Ovis aries: one gene and its partner. Each later gene encodes a partner of the first gene's protein in a complex. Links are inferred from orthologs where the notes say so. Each region holds a gene or a part of one and is shown on either strand. Other genes may lie near its edges. The genes, in order: SLC9A3 and CHP1.

The links.
Region 2: the proteins of SLC9A3 (region 1) and CHP1 are in contact, whole or in part, in a cryo-EM structure (PDB 7X2U), measured with the Homo sapiens proteins. The link is inferred for Ovis aries from reciprocal best matches to the Homo sapiens genes SLC9A3 and CHP1. Residues at the interface, in NP_004165.2 of Homo sapiens: Tyr396, Arg397, Met398, Gln400, Glu402, Arg474, Leu475, Asn476, Glu477, Leu479, His480, Gly481, Arg482, Ala483, Phe484, Asp485, His486, Ile487, Leu488, Ser489, Ala490, Ile491, Glu492, Asp493, Ile494, Ser495, Gly496, Gln497, Asn501, Arg504; in NP_009167.1 of Homo sapiens: Arg30, Leu31, Arg34, Leu38, Lys40, Glu49, Phe51, Gln52, Arg53, Ile54, Glu56, Leu57, Ala58, Ile59, Asn60, Pro61, Leu62, Asp64, Ile66, Phe70, Phe83, Leu87, Phe90, Leu115, Phe117, Ala118, Leu121, Tyr122, Leu135, Leu139.

Annotation. Positions count from the first base shown.
Region 1 is NC_056069.1:71,676,189-71,680,001, forward strand, and holds part of SLC9A3 (sodium/hydrogen exchanger 3), read left to right. Parts: intron 1-1,171; coding exon 1,172-1,332; intron 1,333-2,717; coding exon 2,718-2,796; intron 2,797-3,392; coding exon 3,393-3,570; intron 3,571-3,813. UniProt on the Homo sapiens protein: Plasma membrane Na(+)/H(+) antiporter. Exchanges intracellular H(+) ions for extracellular Na(+) in 1:1 stoichiometry, playing a key role in salt and fluid absorption and pH homeostasis.
Region 2 is NC_056060.1:34,960,818-34,963,810, forward strand, and holds the end of CHP1 (calcineurin B homologous protein 1), read left to right. Parts: coding exon 1-206; 3' UTR 207-251; coding exon of another isoform or gene 252-305; 3' UTR 306-2,217; downstream 2,218-2,993. UniProt on the Homo sapiens protein: Calcium-binding protein involved in different processes such as regulation of vesicular trafficking, plasma membrane Na(+)/H(+) exchanger and gene transcription. Involved in the constitutive exocytic membrane traffic.

The DNA of each region.
Region 1 (3,813 bases):
CCCGTGCTTCCTGCCAGTTGGTTACTAACCTCAGCCCTGGCGTACCTCTGAGGTGTACCCCACCCACCTGGGAGTCGGTCATTATCCACCCGGGAAACGAGCAGGTGGGGCCCTGCTCACCGAGGCCGTGCATACGTGCCGGATGGCATGGCCTTGAACTCAGCCTGCTTTCCCCGTGCCTCTGTGCTCCACAGGCTGAGCTCCCGGTGTTGGGGGCGATGAGGGAGGTGGGGCTGCTACCACCTCCCTGGGCAGCAGTCTCAGCTCAGCTTCGGCCTCAAACACTTCCACCAGCAGAACCAGACAAGGGACAGGCCCTCTGACAGAAAAGCAAGCACCCCGAGCCCCCCCCAGTGGGGCTCATGACCTCCCTTGAAATCACAGTGACAAAGAAGACACATTGAGAAACACACTGAGGGCTAAGGCACCCCATCTGCAGGAGTCACCTAGGACCCTGTCCTCACCCCGGACAGTGCAGGCTTCCTCAAGTCCCCACAGCCATCCGGCACCATCCCCAAGCGCAGCCCTGGAAGCCCCCCGAGGCTGGCGTGGTGCCAAACACACCCGGCCAGTTCTCCCCAACGCCCGGGCCACAGGGCCCATGCAGGTGACATTAGACTGCCATCCCTGGTGGTGCCCTCAGGTAGTTGGGACAACCTAAGGCCACTTCTGGCCCCCAGGCCAAGGGAACGTTCTGGGGTTTGGCTCCCTGAGGGGCCACGGCCGTCTGAGGCCTGTGCTCCGTCCTTGGGATGGAGTGGTCATGGCTGGGTGTCAGCCAAGGTCATGGAGCAGGGCAGTGCCCAGGGGACACCCAGAGCCCGGCCCTGCAGCTGGCAGACAGGGATTGGTCTCTGCTGTCAGCCCGCTCCTGGCTCTGAGGTCTGCCCCAAGGCTGGGGGACACTGCCAAGGAAGGGTCAGCCTGGGTGGCCACAGGTGGGCCAGGCAGCAGACGTCCTGAGGGCATCTGGGCACAGCAGCCCAGCACCCAGAAACCCCGGGCCATCAAGAGGCCCCGCGGGTGGGCAAGGCCAAAGTTGGGGAGGGTCCCGGAACACACAGTCCAGCAGCCACAGTCCTGTCCCTGGGACCTTCCTGGCATGGCCAGCGCGGGGAGGACTGGCCCTCCAGGTAGGAGGGCTCCCCCTGACGGCCCACTCGTCTTCCAGGAGACCTGAACATCGGGCTACTGGACTTCCTCCTGTTCGGCAGCCTGATTGCCGCCGTGGACCCGGTGGCCGTGCTGGCCGTGTTTGAGGAGGTGCACGTCAACGAGGTGCTGTTCATCATCGTCTTCGGGGAGTCCCTGCTCAACGATGCTGTCACCGTGGTGAGTGCCCAGCAGGATGCACCTCCTGGTCCTGTTCCAGGGTCTCACTGCTGGCATCCCAGCTTCGGCTGCAGGCCTCGTGTCTGCCCTTGACTGTGGAGTTGTGAGTGATCACAGTGTTATGGGGATTGAGGAGGGGAACTCAGCCAGGCCCAGTGTGCCCACGGCCTGAGGGCTGGCGGTCCACGTCGGCTCTGGGTAGCCCAGAGAAAAGGGTGGCCCGTTTGGATATCAGAGGCCATCCTCCCCACACCGGCCATGGGCTCTGGAGCAGTGACGTCCCAGGGGCAGCACAGAGGGCTGGTCAGCAGTGTGGCTGAGCACCTGCCTGGGGTCTCCTCAGCCCTGCAGTTTCGCAGACATAGTGGGCATCCAGTCTTCTCTTTGCTCTAAAAGCCCCTCCATGTCCTGTAAACGCGTGAACTTCTGCCCAAGCCAGGAAGCTCCTCCCTGGTTCCTGTGAGGCTCGTCTTCCTTACGGAGGAGGAAGCGGGAGAAGCAGGGCGCTGCGCCCTGCTCCCCCAACCTTCACAGCTGTGCCATCCCTCCGGCGCAGGCCCCATGCAGCAACACCACCAGATTTCCTTCCATAAACACAGCTTTGCGATCTGCCCCATGAGGGCCTTCTGCCCCCTGGAGAGCACAGACCTGGAGACACAGGAACATTTCTTCCCAAGGGCCCCACAGCCCCCCCCGACCTGGGTCGCCCCCAGGCCCCTCCCCTGGACGTGGAGCCAGCGCATCCTTCAGGAGCTTCGCTCAGAGCACAGCGGGCACCTCCCACACATACAGCCCTGCGGCCTTGGATAAGGTGTTAGGCATTTATCACCACGTCATAGCAGGATGTGGAGAAGGAAATGGCAACCCACTCCAGTACTCTTGCCTGGAGAATCCCATGGAGGGAGGAGCCTGGTAGGCTACAGTCCATGGGGTCGCAAAGAGTCGGACACGACTGAGTGACTTCAATTCACCTCACTTCATAGCAGGATGAGGTTTGAATGTCAACAGGCAAAGATGCCAGGGGTGCGTCCCCACTGACGGGGGCCGCATAATGGCAAAGTCGCAGCAAATGAAACTCTGGTTGTGTCTTGGGAAGCAAACTAAAGATCATCACAGCAGGCTGGCTTTGTGGCCGCCCTGCTTCACTGAGGGTGGGGAAGGCCAGGTTTTCTCTGAGGGTTCTTGTTCCTCCCAGACTGTCCTCCCACCCCAGACCCCACACTACTGCCCCAGATGAGTTTGCCCTGGCGGTTTTCAGTTTCCCTTCAGATTGCTGCCATGGTCTCCTCACTTGGCCCAAGTCTCACCAGGCCTGGGGCCCGAGACGGGGAGGAGTCAGTGCTGACCGCAGGCTGACGGGGTCCTGTCTGTCTGTGTCCCCGCAGGTCCTGTACAACGTGTTTGAATCTTTTGTGACTTTGGGTGGTGACAAGGTGACCGGCGTGGATTGCGTGAAAGGAATAGGTGTGTGGCTCGCCAGTTGTGTTCCAGCGGGGAGCCAGGGCCAGTGTCTTCTCCGGAACATGGACCCCGTGGGGCAGCATCTGTGCCAGGCTGGAACCCACAGCCTGTGCAGGAAAACATGCTTCCATTTCAAAGTCTTGGTGACAGGCCCCCGCCCTCCCCAGCAGGTTACACTAATCTGGTTTCCCAGGCCCCAGCCACCCTGGGTGGCGAGGATCATTGCCCCCACAGACCCATGGGAGGACGTGGATCCTGTATCTGGGGTCCTGGGAATCCCTCTGGGCAGGGACAGTTACAGATGGCATTCCTGGGAGCCCAGAGCCTGGTCCTTGCTGTCAACCCCCCACCAATGCTGCTGGTCTCAGCGCTGCCCCCGCAGTGGGGTAGCCGGGCCTCCTTTGGTGCAGTGCTTTCCTCTCCCCGTGGAGCCAGAGCCTCTGTCTGCTGAGAGAATCAGCCTCTTGTTTGCTGAGCTGCTGGTGCCTCTGGGGTCACCCGGGACCTCAATGGGGAACAGTCAGTCAGTCAGGCCAGCTCGCCCACGCCTCGGCCACAGAGGGCCCCTCAGAGGCCAGCGGCACTCCTTGTCCTTGCAGTGTCCTTCTTCGTGGTGAGCCTGGGGGGCACGCTGGTGGGCATCGTGTTCGCCTTCTTGCTCTCCCTGGTGACACGCTTCACCAAGCACGTGCGCATCATCGAGCCTGGCTTCGTGTTTGTCCTCTCCTACCTGTCCTACCTCACGTCTGAGATGCTGTCCCTGTCGGCCATCCTGGCGTGAGTCCCTCCTCGCTGATCGGCCACCCACCAGCCCCCGCATGCCCGGCGGACCTGCCCTGGGGAGGCCTGGCCACTTCCCCGGGTGGGGCGGGAACTCGCTATGGGGGAGAAGAATTTGATCTATTTAGTCTTTTAATTAAGGAGTTGGCGTCTTCATAGAGCTCTCCAGGGGCTGCAGCACCTGCTCTGCCCCCACGCAGCCTTTCCCAGGGCTCTGACCCGCAGAGCTGCCCCCCTCCC
Region 2 (2,993 bases), on another chromosome or scaffold:
GAGTGAATATCTCAGATGAGCAGCTGGGCAGCATTGCAGACAGGACCATCCAGGAGGCTGATCAGGATGGGGATAGCGCCATCTCTTTCACAGAATTTGTTAAGGTCAGTCACTTACCTCTTCGCTTGAAGAACTTAAATACTACTATGCAGGAGAGAGGGAGAAAAACATTAGAGAAGAGCTTGAAACAGCATCTCCTGTTGTAACCTTCGTAACTGTAGCTGGGTTTGTTTTTGTTTTTTTTTAAACAGGTTTTGGAGAAGGTGGACGTAGAACAGAAAATGAGCATCCGATTTCTTCACTAAAGGACTGAGACCAAACTATTCCTTGCTTTCTAGTATTTAAGAACTGGAACTTGAAACCCCTCCTATCCACCAGCCCCACCTCCACCCCATCCTTCCCCTTCTCCCAAAGTACTACTGCTGTTGCATGACAACCCCAAATATGTTCTGTCAACGCAAACCTGCCTTTGGTGTATAAATAGGGCATTACAGAATGGTACAGCCAGTCTAATTCTGTTTAGTGTTGTTCGCCGGATATCTCCATTTCTAAATGTCACCTTCCCTTGTTCTGCTGCTGAGTGCCATGCATCCATCCAGTCTGAGAAAGTGAGAGGGAATCAACCGAAGAACAGCCAGCAAAGCTCTTTGGCTGGATGTGAACCGTAGCCAGGCTGCCTTTCCGCCAGCTTGGCTTTGGCATGCTCCTTCATCCTTTTTTGTATGTTCTTTGCTTCCACTTCTCTTCTCCCCAACCTACCACTCTCTTAGTCTTTCAGTATCCCTGGTTTTTATTAAGCTTCCATCCTCCCTGTTCTACTTGGCATCCTCAGTTACACCTGTTAAATATATTTCAGACTTGGCAGTATAGTTCAGTGATCTGGCAGTTTTTAATCTACCTTTACTCTTAAATGGGTATCTGGGATGTTGCCTCCCCAGGAGCTCTTTAGTAACCAACACTTCTCTCAGAAGAATGTCTTGACCATCTCTTGGTCCCCTCTGCTCTGTCACCAAAGGGCTGTTGGTTAGAGAAGCTCTTGAAAGATAAGAAAGATAAGAGGTGTAGAGCCAAGTCTTCTAGGTGGCTTGCCCAGGTCACTCTACCTCTGGCCTCTGACTCTCAACACACATACCTACATGGCTGCTCTCGTTAGTACAGTGTTGATTCTCTAGAAATTAGCCGTATGCCTGCAGCTTGCTTCATCTGAGGATAATGTCACCACCAGAATGGCTGCTCTGACCGTTTGCTTGGTGTCTTTCTCATGGCTTTTTGAACAAGGAGGCTGGGCACCCTAAAATATTCCCACCTCTACAGCATGGTTTATGCCTTAGTGTGATGTGCCCTGGAATTCTTTTCACTTCACATTTCTAAGTAGAAAGATAAGTGCCTAACTTATCCCAGGCCATAAGATTTAAAAATTGTCCTCAGTGTCTTGAGGTTTTGCACAAAATTCTCTCTGAATTTTACACCTGGAACAAGTTAATGCCGGATGCCATAGTCAGGTCTTAATATAGGTCCAAAATATTGAATGTATTGTATCATTAGCAGCCTGGTTACATTGACTTCCTAGTTCCTCTCGTACACTACTGCTAATCCCTTAGGAATGAGAGCTCTGGCACTGGTGACACAACCTGAAGTGGCATTACAAGCCTTTGCTTGAACCAGAGCAACTCCTCTGCCCCAAGGAAGCTTAGTATGGATGTCACTGAATCAGGCTGTGGTCATCCTAAGATCTGTCCTTATGCATCTCTTCATCCATATATCTGTCCTTGGCTGATTCTCTCTGACTCATTGCTTGCTTGCTTCTTTCCTTGCTTTGGAAGGCTATCCAAGATGTATACACACTACTTTATGAAGGGAATTGCTTAAAAAAAAAAAAAAAACTGCAAAGGGTTTGGGAAGAGTGCTTAAGAAAGAGTGGCCAGGCTGGATGACTCAAGTATAAATGAGAGAGGATTTCATAGAGAAGTATCAGTGTGACTTTGTGATCAAGTGATGTAATATAGGAATTGTATAAAAGGGAAGAACTGTCCAACACTGGTCTGTTCGTGAGGTACTTCAGAGGCTCCTTGACCTGCATATTTAAAGTTCCTAAGATGATGGCCTTTTCCTCCTCTTGGCTGTGTAGCAAACTGTTTTAATCCACGGTTGTGCCTTATTGTTCCATTAAAATTGTACTCTTCGATCCATCAATAAATACTTGTGGTTAAAACAAAACAACATGGTTGATTTTTGTCCTCATGTTTTATAAGTATTTTTCATGACTCAGTCCCTTTCTTCAGGTTTGAAATCATGTGTCTTCTTTACTTGGCTTTATGTCTGTGCTATCAAATGCATTTATTTGAACATAATTGAGCATGATGTGAGATTCTGTCAGCATTTATATCTGCTGCTGCCTGGACATACAAGGCAGAGGTGTTCGTCTAGTGGCCAGCACTGAATGCATCTGAGTGTGATTGACAGCCTCGGCCACTTCCCACTCTTTCCAGGTTGGATTCTATTTCTGTTCTTGAACCCCTGACTTCTTAAATGTAGAAGAGGTCTAAAATGGGGTATCTGTCTATTGCTTGTTATTAATTTGTCCACAGTCTAAGTGACATAGTATGCCCAGCTATTCAGTTCAGTTCAGTGGCTCAGTTGTGTCCGACTCTTTGTGACTCCATGAACCGCAGCACACCAGGCCTCCTTGTCCATCACCAACTCCTGGAGTCCACCCAAACCCATGTCCCTCAAGTCAGTGATGCCATCCAACCATCTCATCCTCTGTTGTGCCCTTCTCCTCCTGCCCTCAATCTTTCCCAACAAAAGGGTCTTTTCAAATGAGTCAGCTCTTTGCATCAGGTGGCCAAAGTACCAGAGTTTCAGCTTCAACATCAGTCCTTCCAATGAACACCCAGGACTGATCTCCTTTAGGATGTACTGGTTGGATCTCCCTGCAGTCCAAGGGACTCTCAAGAGTCTTCTCCAACACCACAGTCCAAAAGCATCAGTTC